4 linked regions of the Saccharomyces cerevisiae S288C genome follow. Changing the gene in region 1 together with any one later gene gives a genetic interaction. Each region holds a gene or a part of one and is shown on either strand. Other genes may lie near its edges.

Evidence for each region.
Region 2: mutations in YLR415C (region 1) and INA17 together harm fitness more than expected from each alone (negative genetic interaction), as found in Saccharomyces cerevisiae (one large-scale study listed by BioGRID).
Region 3: mutations in YLR415C (region 1) and PAL1 together harm fitness more than expected from each alone (negative genetic interaction), as found in Saccharomyces cerevisiae (one large-scale study listed by BioGRID).
Region 4: mutations in YLR415C (region 1) and YTA6 together harm fitness more than expected from each alone (negative genetic interaction), as found in Saccharomyces cerevisiae (one large-scale study listed by BioGRID).

Annotation. Positions count from the first base shown.
Region 1 is NC_001144.5:950,820-956,533, forward strand, and holds YLR415C (uncharacterized protein), read right to left. Parts: upstream 3,779-5,714; coding exon 3,440-3,778; downstream 1-3,439. Other genes in the region: INA1 (Ina1p), read left to right, coding at 337-2,364; PUN1 (Pun1p), read right to left, coding at 2,534-3,325; ESCRT-II subunit protein VPS36, read left to right, coding at 4,191-5,714.
Region 2 is NC_001148.4:363,020-368,542, forward strand, and holds INA17 (Ina17p), read right to left. Parts: upstream 1,050-5,523; coding exon 501-1,049; downstream 1-500. Other genes in the region: ATG21 (Atg21p), read left to right, coding at 1-343; MGR2 (Mgr2p), read right to left, coding at 1,367-1,708; tyrosine--tRNA ligase MSY1, read left to right, coding at 1,933-3,411; ERI1 (Eri1p), read right to left, coding at 3,510-3,716; PNG1 (peptide-N4-(N-acetyl-beta-glucosaminyl)asparagine amidase), read left to right, coding at 3,908-4,999; EEB1 (medium-chain fatty acid ethyl ester synthase/esterase), read right to left, coding at 5,052-5,523. UniProt on the Saccharomyces cerevisiae protein: Component of the INA complex (INAC) that promotes the biogenesis of mitochondrial F(1)F(0)-ATP synthase. INAC facilitates the assembly of the peripheral stalk and promotes the assembly of the catalytic F(1)-domain with the membrane-embedded F(0)-domain.
Region 3 is NC_001136.10:1,169,826-1,176,732, forward strand, and holds PAL1 (Pal1p), read right to left. Parts: upstream 2,001-6,907; coding exon 501-2,000; downstream 1-500. Other genes in the region: mitochondrial 37S ribosomal protein mS43 MRP1, read left to right, coding at 1-318; YPS7 (putative aspartic endopeptidase), read right to left, coding at 2,561-4,351; ATP22 (Atp22p), read right to left, coding at 6,295-6,907. UniProt on the Saccharomyces cerevisiae protein: Involved in the early step of endocytosis.
Region 4 is NC_001148.4:414,235-421,466, forward strand, and holds YTA6 (putative AAA family ATPase YTA6), read left to right. Parts: upstream 1-1,528; coding exon 1,529-3,793; downstream 3,794-7,232. Other genes in the region: transcription regulator GCR1, read left to right, coding at 1-1,128; putative ubiquitin-specific protease UBP16, read left to right, coding at 4,278-5,777; YPL071C (uncharacterized protein), read right to left, coding at 5,814-6,284; guanine nucleotide exchange factor MUK1, read left to right, coding at 6,714-7,232.

The sequences.
Region 1 (5,714 bases):
TCTATACGGCGTCGTCCCTGGAAAAAAAAAACTTGCCTACAGATCTTAGTAGACAAATTTAACTACGTCAATCTATTGTTCTGCTTAAAAAAAAAGTTGAAATTGTTAAATCCTCAACAAACTTATCGCTTTTCAAGCTGCTGCAATCATAGATCTTACACTTCTACACAGAATTTTTTTTTCCTGTAAAAAGAACGACAAAATATATAAACCTTTGACAATCTAGCTGCATTTACTCACATTAAGCCTTGAGATTTTCATTTACTTCATAATAGCTTGTAGATGCGATGCTGATACAGTAAAATAAAAATTCAGTAATACAGTCAAATTATTGCGATGAATTTTAAAATACTCCTCCCGATTTGTGCTTTATTGACACTTACAACATTTCTGTTGACCATTATTGCAACTGCGGGTTCTACCTCAAATTATAAGCCAATAACGAACATTTATATCGGTGATGCTGATATATCAAAAATCAACGTTACAAAAGTTATGCCACAAGTTGGCCCAATTTTGACTGTGTTAGGTTCTGCTCTAACCGCTCCAAATACAACGGTGGATACCATCTTCGGCGCTCTTAAGGCAATCGCTTCTACCGAAGCCTTGTCTCCTTTACTGCACTTGTTGTCTAATGCTGCTAACACTTCAGCCACATTATCATCTTTGACACAGTTGGCTCCAATGGCTTTGCTAGGAACCAATACCGCTACTACCACGACCTTCTCCGCTCTTGATGAGTTATTGACTACCTCTAAAAACACAACCGAACTCTTGGATGGGTTTAGCACATTGATGTCATCTATGTCAACCAACACTTCTTCTACTTCGGCTTCCTTAGAAAATACTGTTCTAACCCTATTAGTGGATTCGACCAATCCTATAGGCACTACTGAGTCTTTGATCACTTTAAATAATATGACCACAGAAGAAAAGACAAAATTGTCGCCTGTATTCGAGTTATTCGCAAGTTCCAAGAACATTACTGCCACATGCGATGCGTTAGAAACCATAATGAACTCTACCATTCCAACTTCAACGGTCTCCTCATTGTTTTCTAGTCTAAAAACCAGTCTTGCGGAAGGTGGCAATGCTACTGAAACTATTATGCAATTAGGCTCCCTCGTTCCTTCGAGTTTAAAACCAGCTGTCCAAGCTGTTGTTACTCTGTTTGATGAAACTACATCTCAAAATGTAACATTATCCGTATTGAGCACTATGATTGCCGAAAACATTACCCAATCATCTTCCGCTAAAGCTGCCATGGGTGCTTTGACTGACTTGTTGAATTACACTACAAACCAAACAGAGCTGCTAACATCTGTCGAAAGTTTGGCCCTCTCTAAAGAAGCCGCTTCCTCTACTAACCAATTGGTGGCACTTGATGAAATCCTTTCTGCAAGTGCTAACGCATCCACAGTTGTTTCCATAATCCCTACTTTGGAATCCCAATTGGCCAATAACACCGTATTACTTAAGTACGTTCCATACTTGTTCAGCCTATTAGCTGCGTCAAGCGACCCCGTGTCAAGTTTCTCTTCTCTGGTTAATATCACCAAATGGGCAGAAACTAATGCCGCTACATTTATGCCCATGTTGAAAATTTTAAACTCTGCTGTAAACATGACAACTATCACACCAGAACAACTCAAGGAAATGACTCCTTCTATCCTTGAATATCTACACATCCCTGTCATATACCGTTTGTCCATTTTCACAATGTGTCGTGCTCACTTAAACAGAACAATGTACTCGTGTAGCAAGTCACACGCTGTTCAAAACATGGATTTCCGGTCGATTGTTTACAACAACATTGAAGGCTCGGACTTTAAACCTTATATGGATGCCCTGAACATCGGTAAGGACGATTTGCATTTAGATGGTGAATTACAAGACAGACAACACATGTATGTCCCAGCAGTGAAAGCAGCTTTAGCTATGAACTTAATGTGCATAATCACATCCTTCTTCTTAATGGTATTCTTGTTGCTACTAAGTAGACGTTCCGTGGTGAGTCAAAAATTATGGTTGGCATTGGGCTTTATTTCCTGTTGGATATGTATTTTCAGCGGGTTGGGAAGCACAATCTTTAGCGTCATCCTTAATATGATGAAATCCGGCTCCAAGAAGGACAATTACGATGTCATTATTTCTGGCTCTTCTCCATTTTATGGCCTAATGTGGTCTGGATTTGTATTTGCCGTCCTTGTATTTCTCTGCATTGCATACTGCTGGTGGAGCAGCAGAAAGGGAGCTGCCATCGTGGAAGCTGAGAAAGCTGTTCAAGAAAGTGACTCTACTACCTCAAGAATCATTGAAGAACACGAAAGCCCCATTGATGCTGAAAAAAACTTTGCAAGGTAAAATAATAAAAAGAAGATCATGCAACATCACCCCGTAAATTTTTTCAATTCTCCATCCTTTTAATTTTCTTCATTATAATTTTCTGAATTGTATATAGACAATATATTTTAATCATATTTAATATGAAACGGAACACAAAAATTAATTAATAACCTTGCCTTTTTCAAATTCAAATCAATGGTTTTTCCTCAATTGGAGCGTTCGCATAGATGACGGTGGGCCTCGATCTCACGCTACACCATAGAATGAAATTCAGTAATGCTCCAACGACAGCCCCCCACATCAAACCCTGGTAGTTCCTACCAATGCTCATTGAAATACCGTAATCACTATAGTTATGCTTTAGGATGTATTTGATGTATGAGTAAGTGCCCAAACACGAACCTATACTGACTAATAGGGCGGCAAAGGCGAAAAATGAAAAAAAGGCACCAAACCACGTTAGCGGCCTTATGTGGATGATCCAGCGCAATACGTTGAACACTAGATTCACAAAGGTCAAGACAATACCAATAAGAATGGTAATGAACATACACTTGACCAAATTGTTGTAGTATGTCATTTTACTTTTTAGTTTTTCGGGCAAAACAACACTGGCCACGGAATCCATAAGCTCCAGAGCCTCATTGTTGTTGATATTGTCATACACTAATGACGATAGGTTAAAATTCTGGATACCGTGAGGCGAAGAACATGATTGGATGTTATGCGAGGAGTCCACTGTACAGTACGACCAAAGCCCTATATTTATATATGAGGGCAGGCCCAACGAAGATAGCGTAGCAGAACTCAAAGAAGGGAGCACCGTCGATACCTTCATCTGCGACAGATCCAATTCTGCACAGTAAATTTTATTTATGGGACTGTAATTTTTCGTTGATCCTGCGCATGCAACAATGGCTAATATAAGTGCTCCTAGCGAAAATATAGCTGCAAAAAATAACGTGAAAAAATTCCTCATGCTTATAGCGTCCTTCGATGATGTGTTTGTTTTTTTCTTAATAGTTCTCTATTGCTTTAATCAAGTTTCACTACTGCGCAGCGTTGTATGATCTTGATCTAGTTTCTTTTAGTTCTACTTCCAAACAACTGGTCCAGAATGAAACACCACTGGACACTCATTGACTACTGAGACATGGAAGAGCAACATTCTCGCGTATATATACTTCTCAGCCAATTTTCCTGCGAGAAGCGCTAAAAATACCGAGCTGGGCTTGGCTGATAGTACGCCCGATTTGGAAATAACGCTCGAGGCGTGCTGCGTCCTTTTTTGCCTGGCCAGGCCAGGCCGGGTTGTCCCGCACCATTCAACGGCGGCTATCTGGCGATGTTGAAAGAGGGGGGGAGTGGAGAGGGCTCTGAGGGTCAAGTGGGAGGCTGTGACAGTTCTCATAAGCTGGGCACTGAGATACATGGAAAGAAATAGGCTGTTCACAGTGTACGTCAATGTGTGGCTGACTAACCGTTAGCGGGGCGGAACCGACATGTCTGGTGCAGTGTATGTAAGAAAAAAAGAATGACAATGCATGGCCAAACTTTTGATCTGTGACGTTCGCAAAACGCACTACTTTGCTTTCTGTATGCAATGGGAATGAGGCGTAGCGACATATTAAGAAGCCTTTTCCATGTGAGGAAGCTTCGCCTTGTTTTCCAGACGCGCTTTTTTTAGGATCAACGAAGAGGAAAAAGGGTTTCACATGTTTCATCTGGAAAAGATGGAGACTGAAAAACAAAAAAGCAGAGAAAAGGTCATCCAAGATAGAATAGGGGACCTCGGCTAGGAATCAGGAAGTGTGTTTTGAAAGTCATTCTTTTTTTTTCAAAAGATGGAGTACTGGCATTATGTGGAAACTACGTCATCGGGCCAACCTCTTCTTCGAGAAGGTGAAAAAGATATCTTTATCGATCAGTCCGTAGGTCTTTACCATGGCAAATCTAAGATTCTACAGCGACAGAGGGGCAGAATCTTTTTAACGTCACAAAGAATTATCTACATCGACGATGCAAAGCCCACTCAGAACTCGCTTGGGTTGGAATTGGACGATCTAGCGTATGTAAACTATTCATCTGGCTTCTTGACCAGATCACCTCGTCTGATCCTGTTTTTCAAGGACCCCTCCAGTAAGGATGAACTTGGTAAAAGTGCGGAAACAGCAAGTGCCGACGTTGTTTCGACGTGGGTCTGCCCCATCTGTATGGTTTCGAACGAAACGCAGGGGGAATTCACTAAAGACACTCTACCTACACCCATTTGTATCAATTGCGGTGTGCCAGCGGACTATGAGCTCACCAAGTCGTCTATAAATTGTTCTAATGCAATCGACCCGAACGCCAACCCACAGAATCAGTTCGGAGTGAACTCTGAGAACATTTGCCCCGCCTGTACTTTTGCTAATCATCCTCAAATAGGAAATTGCGAGATTTGCGGCCACAGATTGCCTAATGCATCCAAAGTACGATCAAAGCTGAACAGGCTAAACTTTCATGATTCTAGGGTCCATATTGAGCTAGAAAAAAATTCACTGGCTAGAAACAAGAGCTCGCACTCGGCATTATCGTCCTCGTCCTCGACAGGATCATCGACAGAATTCGTGCAATTGAGTTTCCGCAAATCTGATGGCGTATTGTTTTCACAAGCTACAGAGAGGGCTTTGGAGAATATACTCACTGAAAAGAATAAGCATATTTTCAATCAGAATGTGGTTTCTGTAAATGGTGTAGACATGAGGAAAGGGGCTAGTTCTCACGAATACAACAATGAGGTGCCATTTATTGAGACTAAATTGAGCAGAATTGGCATATCAAGCTTGGAAAAATCTAGAGAAAACCAGCTTTTGAACAATGACATTCTCTTTAACAATGCGTTGACCGACCTAAACAAGCTAATGTCGCTGGCTACCAGCATCGAAAGACTATACAAAAATAGCAACATAACGATGAAAACCAAGACATTGAACTTACAGGATGAATCAACCGTGAATGAACCGAAAACGAGAAGACCGCTATTGATACTTGATAGAGAGAAGTTCCTAAATAAAGAGCTGTTCTTGGATGAGATTGCGAGAGAAATTTACGAGTTCACGTTGTCCGAGTTTAAAGATTTGAACAGTGATACCAACTATATGATCATAACTCTGGTAGATCTATATGCAATGTACAACAAATCTATGCGTATAGGTACAGGCCTGATATCTCCCATGGAAATGAGAGAAGCATGCGAAAGATTCGAGCATTTAGGTCTAAATGAATTGAAGTTAGTGAAAGTTAACAAAAGAATATTATGTGTAACGAGCGAAAAATTCGACGTTGTAAAAGAAAAGCTAGTAGATCTGATCGGTGATAATCCTGGT
Region 2 (5,523 bases), on another chromosome or scaffold:
CCTCCCTGGAGATAATTCTAGCAATGGCCACTGGAATGAAGAGGAATATATACTAGCATCAAATTCAAATCCCAGTATGGGAACTCCAAAGGAAATACCTCTCTCGAAACCAAGAATTGCGAATTACTTCTCGAAAAAAATAAAATCTTCAATACCAAACCAGAACCTGAGCCGTAACTTTGCTTATATAACAGTTAATGAATCGAACAGGAGTTGCTTAGGGTTTCCAGACGAATTTCCCAACCAAGTCTATATTGCCTCTGATGATGGAACCTTCAGTATATATAGTATTCCGTCAAAACCTGGTGAATGTGTGCTGACTAAAAATAATAAATTTACATAATGCATATGTGCAGTTTTCATAATCTTAATAGATATTGTACGTATTCACGTGTGAATTGCTAAAGAGGGTAGAAATCTTCAAAACAAGCAATTTGAAAATATTTACATAGGCAATGGTACATTCTAGAAACACGAAAAGCCAACAAGATAACTAATTCTCACCAAAACCATCTCCTATACCAAGGCTTCATATGTGTTGATTCATTACTGCCCTTTCCCCTACTAGTATTGTGGGTTTTATCCTGTACAATTAACTCATTTAATTGGTGTTCCAGGATTTCTACCTCTTTCTTTAGCTGACTTTCTCTCTCCTCATGCTCTAGTTTCCACCAAGAGAAGTGAAGCAGTAAATAAACGGAAGATCCCATTAGAATGAACATCCAAAGAGGCCTAATAAATCTTTTTACAGGGATCTCATGTCCTGATTCTTCCTCTTGCGAGAATTTTTTGAGCATATCTAACTCCTTTTTGATATTTAATTTTGTAGTATGCTCATTAATCAAATCGCGTATCAGTTCAGTATCAACACCATCCAAAGAATCCAAATTAGCCAAGTCTTCTAGGCTCTTGATTTCTTTCTTCGGTGACGTTGAAACAGCTCTTCGTTGTTGGTTGAGGAGGCGCCTGTGGTAATAGGCAACGGTTGTTATGGGAAACAATTTAGTTCTACTCAAAGTAATGAGAGCATTAGAGCGTCTTTTTAACATATTGTCTATTATATGCTTTGGTTCCCATTTCCTTTCTCAAAGTTTACAAATATAACAGAGTGCTTAGCGAATACTTTATTTTATGAGTCTTGCCGTTAGTGACCCCACCCAAAATAAGATGCAAACCGGTATACATATTAGACATTTCCCACGTATACAAATATATTAAGTAAATAAGCCTCGTCGTGATGAACTTAAATACATGGTATTGAGAGAGTTATAAACAGGTAGATAGATATCTTAAATAAAAATAAGCAGATAAGTAACAATGTTTAAGAAAACGATGGGGAAGCGTAAATATATGCAAAATTTCCCCCTCAGTCCTTACGTATACCGTATTTGGCACGAAGCTTCCACATTTCCAGTCTTGCCTGTTGCTGTAGGTTCAGGTTAGGATGGGACATTGGACTACTTTCACTATCACTTCTGATTATAGACCCGATGGACATAAATAGCCCAAAGGTACCCGCTGAACCAGCAATGTATTTCCCTAGTGTTCTAACTACACCATCAGGACCTGGGCCTTGAGTTGCGATGGCAAATCCACCAAATAGGATGCCTGTGCAGACACCGACGGTAGTACCCATCATCAACCCCATTTTGAATTTGTCCCAATTCGAAGGCTGCTGTTGCGCATAATTTTGTGGAAGAGGAGGCATTATATCTTAATATTGGACTTGAAGCTGTTGCGCTATTTGTGCTATATGATCTTGTGTGGTGTTCTGTGCTTCCTTCTTATGGAAAAGTAGTGGAGTCTGTTTGGTAATGTTGGTCTTGTTCGGGAGTTTTGAAAAGAAAATAAAAAGTGGTTGGCTCATAATGTTAAGAAAGAATTTCCAGTTTCCGATTGAACACAGCAATCTACAGGTAGACATTGTGAATCATGCTCGAATTACGAAGTTGTAGTAATTTGGTCAATAGTAGTAGGAGACTTGTGCCTCTGGTGACTTATTCCGGACTAAGTGCAATAACATTGCCTAAATCTCGATTTTATTCACAGCCTAGTGCTTTAGAAGTACAGGGCACATCGGATTCTCGAAGCGATAATATTTTAGACGAACTCAAACAAAGGGGTCTAGTGTCCCAGGTCTCACAGCCAGAGAGTTTCCTTCGGACGAAGTTGAACGGTAACGATAAGATCAAATTATACTGCGGGGTGGATCCCACAGCTCAGTCACTTCATTTGGGAAATCTAGTTCCACTAATGGTTTTATTACACTTTTACGTAAAAGGTCACGACATTGTCACTGTGATAGGTGGAGCTACAGGGAAAGTTGGGGACCCAAGTGGTAGGAAAACAGAAAGAGACGTTATGGAGAACGATATTAGGCAAAGCAATGTGGCATCCATCTCGCAGCAATTACAAAGGTTTTTCAAAAATGGCCTAGAATATTACAGAAACCGATGTGCTCTCACTGAAGATGTACCTTCCGGAAAATATACACCAAGGAATAATTTCAACTGGTGGAAAGACATCAAAATGTTGGATTTCTTAGCTGATTTTGGTAGGCACATTCGGGTACAATCTATGTTGGCGAGGGATTCAATTTCTTCGAGGCTTCAAACCAAAAATGGTCTGGGATTTAACGAATTTACTTACCAAGTTTTACAAGCGTACGATTTTTACCATTTGTATAAGGAAGAGAATGTGACTATACAAGTAGGTGGTAACGACCAATGGGGAAATATAACAGCCGGTATCGATCTCATCAATAGGATACAGCCTATAAAGAATAAGGGTTTGCCATTTGGTATCACTGTGCCCTTGTTGACGACGGCTACAGGAGAGAAATTTGGGAAAAGTGCAGGCAATGCTGTTTTTATTGACCCCTCAATCAATACGGCGTATGATGTTTACCAGTTCTTTTATAATACTTTGGATGCTGATGTACCCAAGTTCTTGAAGATCTTTACGTTTTTAAACTCAAGTGAAATCAAAAAAATTGTGGAAACGCATATCAAATCACCCAGTCTACGTTATGGCCAAACTTTATTGGCTAAAGAAGTCACAGATATGTTATATGGAGTTGGCTCCGGATCGGATTCAGAAGCGCTTTCTAATATTATTTTTGGACGTTATGACGGAACTTTATCTGCTGCGAAGTTAGTTGATCTATGTAAAAAAGCCAGAATTTTGCAGTATGCTGATAGAGAGATTGACTTAATAAAGTTAATTTGTAAACTAGTAAATTGTTCAGTATCAGAAGCCAGAAGAAAACTTTCCCAGGGAAGCGTGTATCTGCATCATTCAAAATCTAAAGTAAACGAAAATATTTCTAACTTGGCTCCTTTCCTGATAGATGATCGAGTACTGATCTTGAGGATAGGAAAGCAGAAGTGTTTTATAATAGAAATGCGTTAAAAAAAAGGGAGGTATATAAAGTACATGTATAAAATAGGCATGCGTGAGGTGATATTATATCATTTTATGCACTGACTTGTAAATAAGATTATAAACGATTATTCATCTTTACTACTTGCGAACATTTCACTGTCACACCAGGCTATGAGGGCCCACAGCCAGAGAGTCGCAGGGCATAGCAGTAATACACACCAGTAGTGCAGGAAAGAGTCATTGTTGCGTAACCAGTAAAATGTAGCAAGACTAATTAGGAGTACCGAGTAAGTAAACCCTAAAACCAAAAAGCCTTGGTCACGTGGTCTCATGCGCTTATAAATTCTCAATCATGTAATTGAAACAGTCCTGTTGCCTAGTTTCAACTGTTCTATGCTTCTTGATGTTTTCGAAACTTTGCGTAGTGTAATCTTCCTTGTATTGTAGCGAAGAAAAAAGGATGCGTTGGGAACAGATATAGAAGACGTAAAACAACCTGAAGAAGGTAACAGGTGGAGTAGCAATGGGAGAGGTATACGAAAAAAATAACATAGATTTTGATTCAATAGCCAAAATGTTGTTAATTAAGTATAAGGATTTCATACTGTCTAAATTCAAGAAAGCTGCACCTGTAGAGAATATAAGGTTTCAGAATTTAGTCCATACAAATCAATTCGCACAAGGAGTCCTAGGTCAGAGTCAACATCTCTGTACAGTCTATGACAATCCTTCATGGCATTCTATAGTCCTGGAGACATTGGATCTGGATCTAATATATAAAAATGTTGATAAGGAATTTGCCAAAGATGGGCATGCAGAGGGGGAAAATATATACACGGATTATCTAGTAAAGGAGCTGCTTCGCTACTTCAAACAAGATTTTTTCAAATGGTGCAATAAACCAGATTGTAATCATTGTGGCCAGAACACTTCAGAAAATATGACACCTCTGGGCAGTCAAGGGCCCAATGGAGAGGAATCTAAATTCAATTGCGGAACTGTTGAGATCTATAAATGCAACCGATGCGGAAATATCACTAGATTTCCTCGTTATAACGATCCAATTAAGTTGCTGGAAACTAGAAAGGGAAGATGCGGTGAATGGTGCAATTTATTTACTTTGATTTTGAAGTCGTTTGGGTTAGATGTTCGCTACGTCTGGAATAGAGAAGATCATGTTTGGTGTGAATATTTTTCAAATTTTTTGAATAGGTGGGTTCATGTCGACTCCTGTGAGCAATCATTCGACCAACCATATATCTATTCAATTAACTGGAACAAGAAAATGAGTTACTGTATTGCGTTCGGTAAAGATGGCGTTGTTGACGTTAGTAAACGCTATATCCTCCAAAACGAGCTGCCCAGAGATCAAATCAAGGAAGAAGATTTAAAATTCCTTTGTCAATTTATAACGAAGAGGTTGAGGTATTCGTTAAATGATGACGAGATATACCAACTTGCATGTCGCGATGAGCAGGAACAGATAGAGCTGATTAGAGGAAAGACACAAGAAACGAAATCCGAAAGCGTCAGTGCCGCTTCGAAATCATCTAATCGTGGTAGAGAAAGTGGATCGGCGGATTGGAAAGCACAGCGTGGGGAGGATGGTAAATAGAGAAATAAAAGAACAGATTATTATGTGTAAGGAATTTTATCTAAGAACATATTTATAAAACTAACTCATCAAAGCTGCCCAAGAACTCGGCAGCTTGCTTTGTTAACCAGGAATTACTTTCATTGTCGAGATAAGCCAAATGTCCACCCAAGTCAGTCTCGCATAACAACACACAAGGATTTTCTCTAGCTTGTTTGTACGGAATTACGTTTTCACCTGTAACTGGATCATCCGTTGCGTTGATTATTAAAGTTGGGATTTTGATATTAGGCAATCTATTTATCGAACTGGCCTTTCTATAATATGTTAACCCGTCCGGCAGGCCCATCGATGGGGCAGTGAAAAGATTATCGAATTCTAATATGTCTGTAAATTTTTCAGCCTTTTCCAAATTTTCTCTGGTATACGTATAAAAGACTGGTTTCTCAACTGTCGGTTTGTGCGAAACCTCAAAATTCTCTGGTACCTGCAACTCATTCATATTAACCTTGACAGTCCTTGTTAGAAATTGTGTTAAAGTTCTA
Region 3 (6,907 bases), on another chromosome or scaffold:
AATGAGCTCAATAACCAATATACCAACATGGAAAAACAACGAGCCAAAGAAGCCGGTAATCTTGAAGATTCTGAGATGACTGCCAAGCAAGCCAAGACAAAATTTATTTATGAAACCCAACAGAAAGGTTTTTCTGGGAAAGAGGTTTCATATATCCCGCTTTTAGCCATTGATGCGTCACCAAAAACATGGTTAACTGATTATGGCGTATTTGGGAAACGAGAATATTTAGAAAGGGTATGGGACTCTATAGAATGGAAAATTGTAGAGTCAAGGTTACCTCAACGTACTAAGATCCAAGCATTCAACACGTTATGAATGAAACTGGTAATGGGAATTTTTTCCTTTTGATATAAGTTGGTAGTCTCTGTAAATATATAAAGTCAAACTATTCGTAATGTGTATATAACGTGGTCTTAAATTATTTTTATTCGTATCTCTCCCTTTTATTTGCCTGGCTTTGGTGTCTCATAGCTTCTTTTCTCTCTTTTAAGCTCACTTTACTGACTTTTCCTGCCGACCTTTAGACTTTTTACTCTGCTCAGTAATTTGCTGCCCGTCGATTTCTTTTTCATATTGGGCTCATTGTAGCGCACACCCAAATAAACGTCTTCCTCATCTTCATTGTGATCATCTTGGCCGTCGAAATCAGTAGTATAATTGGACTTATGCGTTCTGTTAGGAGAATTAACGGTTTTCGACCTTCTAACACCTTCATTGCTGTGACCAACATCATAGTTGTCTCTACTTAAACTCAAGTTTCTTCTAACGCCTGTCATGGGGGCATTGCTATCACCGGATCCTCCGAGACCTAATCGTTGAGAAAGTGACTTATTTCTTTGTAAACCACCGTTACGATTATGATAGGAATGGGCTTTTATGTCGTTTCTAATGGCAGCTGAGGAGGCCGGCGCCCCATCTAAAAACGTACTAGAACCTAATCCCGCAGTAACTGGCCCATGAACCAATTCTGTCTTATTTTTGGCATCCATTTGTTGGACGTTACCCACGTTTGCTTTTATTGCGTCCTGCGTATCACCACCTCTCCTTAGAGTCTGCGAACTGTACTGGTATATATCAGAATCATCTGTATCATCTCTCCCAAAAACCTCATCCAGGGCAGACTTCTTGGTTGAAGCGCCACCGATGGTACTGTTTGGACCATCGACCGGAAATGCTAAAACAGGCGCAGCTTTGTTATTTTTATTTCTATGAGGTGTTACTGCATCGAATGGGCCGTCATGATGAAATGAGCCACCGAACAATCCAGTTACATCTAACTTATCGATAGTATCGACGTTCTTAGGAACAATAACCTTACTTTTTCTCTTTCCCTTCTTAGAAGGCGTTGAAGATGAGGAAGCTTCACGGTGATGGTGGGATGAAGATCTGCGTGAAATATATGTGCCGCTGTTGCTATGTTCGCGGTGAGAAGAAGGACGAGAAACCTTTTCCTTTGGATATGCACGCCTTGATCCATTGGTTGAAGTGATCTCTTCGTATGAGGGTGGTAGGTCAGTGTTTTCTCTTGTGTTACCTACTGTACTTACGTCACTTTCCTCCAAATATCTTTGCCTTAATTGTTCTTTTTCTTCTTTAGCAGTGGGATGATTTTTATTCCTTGAAACAGGTGGGGGAGACCTTCTAAAATCGGTTGCAGAACTCACATCGTCTAGGAAAGGATTCTTTGAGGAAAGAGGTCTCGAAGGTGGTGATAAACTACCACTACTAAAGCTCTCCAAACCAGAATAAAAAGCACCCTGCTGATCTGCGTTTCGCTGGGGTTCATCCTCTGGAATGTTTGGGAATGATAATTGTGAAGAAGTTCTTGTGTTCAATTGTGGCATATCAAATGAATTGGTACGAGATTGGTTTTTCGCCCACTCCTGAAACTGGGAGTCATTTTTATACTGATTAATACTTGAATCAACTGTGGCATTTCTAAACGGGTTATTAACAGAAAATGGCCTACTAGAGGTACTACTGTTTCTATTCTCCATGCTAAATCTTGCGTATATGTATCAATTTTTCTAAAAATGGAAAATGCTGGCAAAGTGTAATGGAACCTACAATGTATCAACAATTAAGCAGTCGAAGATTATGGTAAAATGACGTTACGTGTTCGAAGGGATAGGTCTGCAAAACACTTAAATTCCTCGAATAAAAATAACAATAAAAAGAGCGAGGTAGATCGGATATATTTCGGATTCTACACACTATAAAATACAAATTAGAAATTTTACAGAGTTACCTCCCAAGAAAGAGTATCTTCATTTTCTAGTGAATAACCTATCGCCAGTCACCATGATCTGCTGTTGAACCAACCTCGAGGCGGGAAAAAAAACAAAAAAAAAAGTAACGCGATTTACGCTCCGTGCACGACGATTCTTTGAGATGGCTGCCAATGGTTGATCACAAGTACTAGCTTCTACACAACTGGATAAGAATGACGCATATATACTTTTAAGTATGTTGTTATTAAATCTGCTATATAATGATGTTATACGTGCATTGGTCAAGGAGAAAAAGGTTTTATGTTATGAACTTTTGTTAAAACCATTCAAAGAACAATAAGTATCGAGAATATCGAAAGTAGTAGCAAGGAAGCTATACGAGTTACATGTCCAGCTGGATCTTTGTTAAATGTATAAGGACTGCTCAATCGAACGCCTGCTCCCGAAGCACTGCTGGTTCTATTAGTTGAATTTGACCACTCTTCTGAGGCTGACACAGAAAAGCTGTCGAATTGAGTACTGGATGGTCTAGCACTTGTGCTTGCTCTTGAAGTATCATAGAATGACCGGCCCGCACCTGTAATCACACCGTTTGAGTATGCTGCTGTCAGTTGACCTGGGACAGTGAACATATAGCCTGACCTATAGGATGGATAAAGAGTCAAGTTTCTTGTATTACTACTATTCATCACTTTTGCGTAAGGAATGTAACCAGATTTGATCTTCTTGATGATAGTGGACGCGGTAGTTTCATTTGTCTCTTCAGTAACTGCGTCATCTTCAACCTTCTTTGCCTGTGCAATGGCTATAGTGTTATCCTCTAAGTCCATTGCCATATATATATTTTTTATGAAGGCTTCTCCGAGTATGTTTACTCCAGTATTTGTATTAGCGTATAGTGTTAGAAAACAAGCTTCCTGTCCAGAACTGAAAAACATTGAAGAATTGGTGGATGTATCGTAAGTAGATGATAATAAATCACGTAGGGGTATTTCAATTGTCAATTCTCGAAGCCTGAAACCCAAGGAGACACCCATATCTGCTATAGAACATTGGACTAGCCACCTATCTAGTGATTCCACATAAGTGGCCGCAATTTGAACGGCAATCTGAATAATGGTACTAGTTGGCAGGTAACTGACCGAAGAAGTTGAATCAAGTAAGGCTGGGCTCAGAAAGTCCTTCGAAGTCATATTCAAACTTTGTCCGCTGTTAGACACAATATAAATAGGGCCTAATGGCACAATTGGGTACCCAACACTAACAGCATTACTCACTGGGTCAACGTAAGGAATTAAGTCAAATTTTCCCAGTGTACCGGTAAACAGCGAAGGATCCACCCCTCCAAGAAGTAGCTTCCCACAATTAGATATTGGATCTCTATATGTTTTGTACGTGGAAGTGTCTCCAGCCAACCACAGTGAATATGACGAACTTTCAATGATATCTGCATCTTTCAATAAGGATAGAAAATAAGACTGTTCTGTGTATTGTGAGCTATCGATAGCATTGCCTGGGTTTGTGACCTTCCCGCTTAAACCTAACAAGCCTGAAGTCTTAAAGTTCGAGGACTGAATATCAAAGAAGGAAACGTTTGAAATGGATAGGCTCCCCGAGTTAAATTGTACGTTATCTCGAGTTACCATTAAATCGGTTATCAAAGCGGTCGAGGAATTTTCTGAGGAAACATTTGTAAAATTCATATCGTCTGTCACCAAAGTACAGTTAACAGCTCTACCATCAATGAAAGAAATCTCATATATTTGGCCAGGAGAAACAGGAACAGATGATGTAGAGTCATTCATGAGGTAGCTGGGATGCTTATGATATACACCGGAGTATTCGTTATGACTTTCGCTTGTTCCGGAAACCAGATTTATGTACGGTTGGATAATATCCACTAGCAAACGTTGGCGTTGACCGGGAGTGCCAAATGTGCTATTAACATAGTAGTTTCCTCTACCATCTTTACCCACGGCTAGTACAGGAAACGGCTCCTCCGTTGACGAAGAGGTTCCAGACTTTGCTGTAGTTGTTGTATTTGCAGTACTAGCCGTTGCAAACTCTAACTGAAAAGTTGATATGAGCCACAGATACCATAAAATTAGGCATGTCATAGCAAAAATCAACGGCAAATAAAGCAAGCACGCAGTTACGATACGTTCAAAGATCTTTCCAAGTTCTGTATCCTTCTAGAACGATTAGTCTAATGCAACTGATATGTCCAACATTCTAAATATAACTTATTTTGGTATTAGCTGCATCATTCTACCATGATGAGCTGCGGCGTTCAATATCTCATTTTTTTTTGTTCGGGGTAACGAGGTTCATTGTTGCAAATAGCACGACCAAACGAGCGGTATGATACAAAGCACTGCAAGTCATAGCTGAGGTAAAAAAAAAAAGAATGAAGATCTCATTGTTTGGGTTAAATTACTTTCAAGAGCCTCTTTTTTAGGCTCGGTTGGTTAAAAGAGCAAGAACCGAAACACTAGTGCATCAATTTTTATAACAATTTTGTAATTATGTTGATAATTGGCAGTAAAGTTACAAAATACACACTAATTAAAATATTGAACACTTACAATATAAAGCTGATATCAAAATAAATATCGAACAATAAATACAACTCTCTCCAATATCAATATACTGCCGTCGTTATTTAAAAAATTAGCCCACCTGGGAACATTATAGAAAGAGATTTGTTTTTTGGTCTGGCAATGTGTCATAATCAAGCTCTTTGCAATATACATCCCCAACTCATATATTTGTATACAGGAAGAAGAATCGACCACCATCTATCGACTAGCATATTATCATATACGGTGTAAAAAGATGACATAAAAGATGAGAAACAGGGTAATCCCAACAATTGTCTCAATATTTACCTATTTCTCACATTGTCACCGCTCGAAAGTGCATTTTATATACGTTCTTTTGTGACGACTACTTTTGGCGGGAATCTTAGCGCCTTAAATGCAGTGAAAGATTACTCTTTTGAGTTATTGCCTGAATTTTGTCTGCAAAATTGTTATTATTCAGGAATTTAGAATAATTCAACTCTGGAGGCCTGCGCTGTACTACGGGCTCAAGTAATACCGGAGTGTCTCGACAATCCTAATATAAACAGTCTTAGGGAAGTAACCAGTTGTCAAAACGGTTTATCAGATTAATTCACGGAATGTTACTTATCCTATATATTATATAAAATATGGATCATACTAAATGGTGGAAGCGCGGAACCTTGGATCTAAACTGTTGGAATAAGAATCCACTATCGTCTATCAACTAATAGTTGTACTATCAATATATTATCATATACGGTGTTAAGATGATGACATAAGTTATGAGAAGCTGTCATCGAAGTTAGAGGAAGCTGAAGTGCAAGGATTGATAATGTAATAGGATAATGAAACATATAAAACGGAATGAGGAATAATCGTAATATTAGTATGTAGAAATATAGATTCCATTTAGAGGATTCCAATATCATCGAGGAGAACTTCTAGTATATTCTGTACACCTAATATTATAGCCTTTATCAACAATGGAATCCCAACAAGTCTCTCAAAATACACCCATTTCTCATAAACCAATTGTTCAGGCATTTATACGTTTAGATAGCCCAGCTATAGAAGGCGGAGTTTTACCTCATGTTGCTCAATCTGTTCGTTTTCTTAGGTTTCATATGTGTTCTATGAACGTTCAGGATAATGTATTGTCATGCTGACGTATCCCATTCTGAGATGTAACGTCTGTACAAAACAAAGCTTCAGTAGCTCAGTAGGAAGAGCGTCAGTCTCATAATCTGAAGGTCGAGAGTTCGAACCTCCCCTGGAGCATTTTTGCCGAGCACGGTACTTTTTTTTATTCTCAGTAAATGAAATCCAAGGGCTCATTTATTTGAGAAAGTAAATAAGGTATTAGAGGTAATAAAGTAACCATGGGCCAAGAAGACATATTCATAAACTTATGAAAAAACTTTGTAGGTATTAATAACTTATGGGTAAATTACTATCTATGAATGAATATTTACTATTTACTAGTGCTCATCTGGATATTAATTTAGACTTTTCAACGTCTCTCTTATAATATTTGTACATTTATTAACATCATCATCATTAAATCTAGGCTTGCCATCTTCTTCGAACATATCTTCGTCAGTAAACAGGGTGCTATCAGTAGGTTCTTTAATGTTATTATTTTCCACCAATTCCGTCAGTAAAGTTTCGTCAAAGTTTTTGGGAAACGGCCAGCCTTGGTCTTTTATTATCTGTATCAAAGCCATATGCCTGATTTCAAAGCCCCCGAAGAGTATCTTATTGTACCAGGAGCGTGCTCCTTTTTCGTCTCTCATTTTGACATAATGCATTACCATTGCAGAACAAAATTTAAACGTTAAAGGCACCCCATTTTTATGCATCACCTGTAGCAATTCTGATAGTTCAGCCTGCGTTAATGTATGATTTTTATAGGCTACTATGGAAAAGGGACATAGCGTGGTAGTTAAAACCACTTTTTTGGCGAAAGGTTGAGAATAAAAATCCAGAAGAACATTGTAGGCCAGCCTTGGTTCACGAGCTTGGAATCTAATATAATTTAGGAAAACATTGAGGATTCCGGTATCATTTCTCCAATACCTGTATTTATGAGCTTCCTCGGAAAGAAAACTC
Region 4 (7,232 bases), on another chromosome or scaffold:
CTACCGTTACCAGGTTCAATAGCCTCTGCAGCAACAGGCAGTCCTTTTTCTCCATCACCCGTTGGTGAGTCTCCCTATAGCAAACGCTTTAAACTAGACGATAAACCAACTCCGTCTCAGACGGCTCTTGATTCCTTACTTACAAAATCCATTTCAAGCCCTAGATTACCCCTTTCGACGTTGGCTAACACAGCTGTCACGGAATCTTTTCGCTCACCTCAGCAGTTTCAGCATTCTCCAGATTTTGTAGTTGGTGGTAGCTCAAGTTCAACAACGGAAAATAACTCTAAGAAGGTAAATGAAGATTCTCCATCATCTTCTTCAAAACTAGCTGAACGACCTCGTCTTCCAAACAACGACTCCACTACTAGCATGCCTGAAAGTCCCACCGAGGTAGCTGGTGATGATGTTGATAGGGAGAAACCGCCAGAGTCAAGTAAGTCGGAGCCCAATGATAACAGCCCAGAATCGAAAGATCCTGAGAAAAATGGTAAAAACAGTAATCCGCTTGGTACGGATGCTGACAAACCAGTACCAATTTCTAATATTCATAATTCTACTGAGGCTGCAAATTCAAGTGGTACAGTGACAAAGACAGCTCCATCATTTCCGCAGAGTTCTTCTAAGTTTGAAATTATAAATAAAAAGGATACGAAGGCGGGGCCAAACGAGGCAATCAAATACAAGCTGTCCAGAGAAAATAAAACAATATGGGACCTATATGCGGAGTGGTATATTGGTCTGAACGGTAAATCTTCAATAAAAAAATTGATTGAAAATTATGGCTGGCGAAGGTGGAAGGTTAGCGAAGATTCACATTTTTTTCCTACTAGAAGAATTATTATGGATTATATTGAAACGGAATGTGATCGTGGCATAAAACTCGGCAGGTTTACTAATCCTCAACAACCGAGGGAGGATATACGGAAGATTTTAGTAGGGGACCTAGAAAAGTTCAGGATAAATAACGGTCTGACTCTGAATTCTCTATCATTGTACTTTAGAAATTTAACGAAAAATAACAAGGAAATTTGTATTTTTGAAAACTTTAAAAATTGGAACGTTAGATCAATGACAGAAGAAGAGAAATTAAAGTATTGCAAAAGGCGACATAATACACCATCTTAAGTTTATTGAGGTTGTCCGCGACAATAGTTCCTTCAACAAAATAACGAAGCGACGATAACGAGAAATGTCATTAGGTTATTACTACCTTTATAGAAAATATATATACTTATTTAATATTTATATAGATTTATGTGTGTACATACCTATGCGGATGTATGCCTATGTGGGAATTCCTAAATGTCTTTCCATCAACGACTAAATATATATTCTCATGACTGACTATATGGGTTACGAAAACTTAATTTTTTTGTCAAAGACCCTGGCGAATTGAGAAAACCCGCTGGATAGATGGGCTATCCGAAATTTTGAAAGATGGAAAAAACATTAATCTCATTAGCAAAAGAGGTAAGACCCTGGGTGAAGAAAAGTCCGAGGAGGGAACACAAAAAAGTCTAGGATAATGGCACATGAAAAGTTTAGTATACCTGAGAACTTCACATTAGCGCAGTCTTTGCAATTGCTTTACTCTGTTGTCAAAAATCAATATAAAAACCTAGCAGACCTAATAATCAATAGCAAAGGTAATAAGGACACAGTAACGTATGGGAAAATCCACAAAAACTTAGACACTTTACTGGTATACGTCAATGAAGGTCTACGAAAAATTGAAAAGACTTATACCTTAAAGAAAGGGTTAGGAAATCTTGTAGTTGATCATCCTGAATTGAGGAGCATCATTGAGGATTTCCAAATTCTTGGCCAGGATATAAGGATCGCACGTCGTAAAGCAGAAACGCTTATGGCCGAAGGAAACGGTAGTCCCTCTTTGTCATCCTCCTCTTCCGTTTTGGGCCTTGGGACAGGAAATGGTTTGCGTTTTCCAAAACTTTGGAGAATGGGTTCCAAAAGAGATAAATTGAAAGAAGCTGACGAAAAGGAGGCTAAAATCAACAAACAGGCTGATAATATCAGACGTGCTAGGAAATTAGAAGAAGAGAAAAAGTTAGGAGCAAAACTTCAGTATGAGAGGGACTTAGAACTTCAAAGGGAAAAATTGATCGAGTTAAAGGTTAAAGAAAAGGTCGAATTTGAAGTGGCCCAAAAGTTGGAGGAGGAGAGAGTTAAGAGAGAGGAAGAAGAACGCAAACATAGAGAACAAGCGGAGAAAAAACGTATATCAACCCTGAAACATGAGAGGAAAACAAATTACAAATCAAGGGCTAGCCTCGACAACTTCTCTTCCAGTAGCAAATCTTCTGGAAAGATTGACAACTCCCTAATTAAAAGAAGATCACTTGACGTTGTACGGACTTCAGGCGAAAGAGTACGAACGCCAGTAAGAAAATCAATGGAGGCAGCAGAAATAGGTATGGCTGCGCAGTTAGCCTGGTCTCAGTATCAAAACGGGGCAAATCATTCAAAAGTGAGTAACAACGGATCGCATTCAAATGAACTTCAGATACGTTATAAGCCAACACCACCTTTGAAAAAAAGGTATGACTACAAAAAGCCAACAGTTAATCGACCGATTATAAAATCACCTACTCTTAACAGGCAAAACAGCAAGTCTTCACGGAATATACCCACAAATAGCAAGCTGAAGGCTAGTAAATCCAATACTAACAAAGTTTCTCGTAGGAATGAGCAAAATTTGGAGCCTAGTTCACCAGTACTCGTTTCAGCGACAGCGGTACCTGCTGAATCCAAACCCATGCGTTCTAAAAGTGGTACACCCGATAAGGAAAGCTCTGCTAGTTCATCCCTCGATTCCAGAAAGGAGGATATATTAAAATCAGTGCAGGGAGTAGATCGAAACGCTTGTGAACAGATACTTAATGAAATTCTTGTTACGGATGAAAAAGTTTATTGGGAGGATATCGCAGGCTTACGGAATGCGAAGAATTCTTTGAAAGAAGCAGTGGTTTACCCATTTCTGCGGCCTGACTTATTCAAAGGGCTAAGAGAACCTGTTAGAGGTATGCTTTTGTTCGGCCCACCAGGTACAGGTAAGACAATGATTGCTAAGGCGGTTGCGACAGAGTCCAATTCCACATTTTTTAGTGTAAGTGCATCTTCTTTGCTATCGAAATACCTCGGTGAATCTGAGAAGCTGGTTAGAGCATTGTTTTACATGGCCAAAAAATTGTCACCCTCAATTATTTTCATAGATGAGATTGACTCTATGTTAACAGCTCGCTCTGATAATGAAAATGAGTCCTCGAGGAGAATTAAAACAGAACTTCTTATTCAGTGGTCCTCCCTATCTAGTGCTACTGCACAATCGGAAGACCGAAATAATACGCTTGACAGCAGAGTACTTGTCTTAGGAGCAACGAATTTGCCATGGGCGATTGATGATGCAGCAAGAAGACGATTTTCACGGAAACTATACATTCCTTTACCAGATTATGAAACTAGACTATATCATTTGAAGAGATTAATGGCCAAGCAGAAAAATAGCCTGCAAGATTTAGACTATGAATTAATAACAGAAATGACCGAGGGGTTTTCTGGTTCTGATCTTACGTCATTAGCCAAAGAAGCGGCAATGGAACCTATTAGAGATTTAGGAGATAAGTTGATGTTTGCGGATTTTGATAAAATCAGAGGAATTGAAATAAAAGATTTTCAGAATGCTCTGTTGACAATAAAAAAGAGCGTGTCGTCAGAATCTCTACAAAAATATGAGGAGTGGTCTAGTAAATTCGGTAGTAATGGTTCCTGAACGAGAGGGAGCGTCTTAATGGCAAAGAAAGGTATGAGAAGGAATTTTCCCCTTTCAACTTCTTGCTTCTGATCTAATTTTATTACCTATGTACTTTCTATGTATTATCAAAGAAAAACTAACTTCGGTTCCCTTATGATTTGATATTTTTCTTTCTTATTTACAATTAGTTTTCTCAGAACGATATTCAATACAGTTCTCCGGATTTTTGCTTACTATATTGGCCCCAAAAAAATGAAATAAAAAAAGAAAACAAAATAATATACTTGGGTGAAATAAAAAAAATAAATCAATAGCACCCAGTTAACCTAGATTCAAAGTTTCTTCTTCAATCTCAATTTATATACACGTTTGAGTTAATGGGAAAGCAAAGTCCAGCTATAAAACACTTGACCGTTAGCGCCATACCCTCCAACAACTAATTGGACCTTCTCCTTCTGCCCAAACAGTATATGCAAGGTACAGCAGTTACTACAAGCACAATATGTCTTGGATAAAAAATGTAACAGAATCTCCGACTTCACTGATTAAAAAAGTTTCATGTGGTTTGATAATTGCTGCTTCTCTATATGCCATTGCACCCAGCCTAAGTGCGCTAGTCTTTGGGGATTCTAAGCAGAGTATTGGGAAGTACACGACAGTGGGCTTAATTAATCGTGGGAATGATTGCTTCATAACATCATCTTTGCAAGGCCTGGCTGGAATACCTCGATTTGTAGAATATTTGAAACGGATAAGAACGGTCCTTCTAGAATTAGAAACTAAGCTGTCAAATAATGCAAAAGGCGACAATCCTACAGTTGATAACACTACAAGGCATAGTCGACTTGAAAACTCGTCTAATTCACTTGCCCCCTTACACGAAAGTCTTACCAGTTTAATTTTGGATTTGATATCTGTAAAAGATCGTAAGACGTCAATTTCTCCGAAAATAGTGATAAACACATTAGAGTCCATCTTTAAATCAAAGATCTCATCCAAACAAAATGATGCACATGAATTTACATTAATATTACTACAAACATTACAGGAAGAACGATCAAAATTGATCGATTACAGTAAACAGATATGTAATTTGAATATACCAAAGTTTCCATTTGAGGGCGAGACTTCCAAGTTTCTAGTATGCCTTAAATGCAAGGGTCTATCAGAACCATCATACAAACAGACTTTCATCCGCGAACTGTCCGTACCACAACAAACATCAGAGAATCTATCCAATATTCTAGCACACGATGAAACAGAAATCATAGACGACTATTCATGCCTGATCTGCCAAATAAGAGCAATCTTAAACCATGAAGAATATAGAAATTTCAAGGACTGTACCCCGGATGAAATTTTAATGTTGGACAGATTGAAAAATTATGCCACTAAAGCCCCAATTAACGAAAATTTACCATTCGAAGTAGAACAGTACGTCAAGCGTTACTCAAAGGGCAATTTGCAGGTATCTAATATAAAGGGAAAGGTCATCAAAAAAGATGTAGTAGTACAACTGCCAGACATATTAATTGTTCACTTATCGAGATCCACATTCAATGGTATTACATATTCTAGAAATCCCTGCAATGTCAAATTTGGAGAAAGAATAACACTTTCTGAATATACATTGGCTGAGAGTGGGACAATAACAGAAAACAGGCAAGTCAAATATAATTTGAAAAGTGTTGTGAAACACACCGGTTCTCATTCGAGTGGACACTATATGTGTTACAGACGCAAGACTGAAATTCGTTTCGGGAAGGAGGATGAATCTTCCTTCAGAAGAGCACCAGTTGTCAACAATGAAGTTAACAAGAATCGCGAGCAAAACGTTGCACATAATGATTACAAAAAAAGCAGATATAAAAAAGTCAAAAACGCCCTGCGGTATCCTTATTGGCAAATATCTGATACCGCCATAAAGGAATCTACCGCTTCAACTGTCTTGAATGAACAGAAATATGCTTATATGCTATACTACGAACGTGTAAATAAATAACCGCCCTGTACATAGGTATATTATAATAATAGTAAGTTACGCATCCATATCCACATCAGTATCCACTGCCATCATTTCAACATCGGTATCAGCCTCTCCATCATAAGTGTATTTCGAAGTCATTTGATTATGGAACCACTTCCACCAGCTTAGATAAGCAATTTCCTTATAATCTACCCATTTTATTATTTGTAGCCTTTTTTCTCTCAAACGTTCCCATATTTTGTCATAAAACAAGTCATTGTCGCCGCGTTTACTTGTGGAACACTTGATGATCTCTTTCAGGACCTTATCATCAATAGCGTCTGTGAATACTATATTGTTATGAATAAGATTGTTATCATCTGCATGTCCGTTCTTGGGCCCTTTATCATTTAAGGATAAATTCTCTAAATCTATAATTAGTCTTTTTCTTTTATAATTATCAATTCCTATTGGGTCTGGAGAATGATTTCTTTTCCTAATGTGGTTGGGATTGCCATTACTTCTTGCAAACCGGGAACTCATGGAATGAAAAAGTCATTTAAACGTGCCACTAGTTTTACTATCTGCTAATCGTTCTAGACGTGTAATATAAATCATATCCGAGCGCCGTTGTTGAATAATTTAATGCCTTCGTATTACATACATTTTGAAATTTGCTTTCGTAAAAGAGCGGTTCCCGGATAAAAAAGTGTGCAAATAACCGAGCCTTATTTGATTTCCAGTAAAGACCCAACCAAACGCATCATTGAAGCAAAAATAGATTAAAACTTACTGTTGTTCGTCTATTGAATTTTGTTCGGATTGGTGTGGTGTTTAATATCTTGGGCAGAAAGAGAATTGGCTTTATAGACACTCATAAAATCATCATTCCCCTTAGAGCAAAAGGTATTTTTAGAAGCCAAGAAGAAGAGCAGATAAAAAAGAAGTACGCCCTCTAACAATAAAAGTCAAATGGCTAGACAATTATTCACTCCTCCGATAACCAATCCAAGGTTTGACCCTAATCAATCCATCAGGGAATCATACAAGAACACAACTGGCGGCATGCAATTTCAACAAAATCTACATGAGGATCAAAATGACAATGAGAGAAGTAGCTGTGATGGTGATGAAAACTCTACAACAGGAGAAAGGCTAGAAAACAATAAGTCTCCTATATTGACAAAACAAGAAATTGACGAAGCGTTGAACACTGTCACCAATTTACCTCCAGAATTATCAAAATTAATTGACATTTTTATTGATGACCTAAAGCAGCCAAAGTACGTACGGCCACTATCAGTACTGCAATTGTCTAGTCTTTTCCAAAGCTTTTACATAAAATTTGATAAAGCATCATTCCAGCACGTCAGTTCAGCGAATAATAATGGCTATTATTTTTCTGGCGGGGGCTCTAGTTCATTCTTGGCTGCCAAAGAAACGTTAAGTAGTGGTCTTAGCGGAATTTTTGGCAGAAGTAGGAGTAGTAGT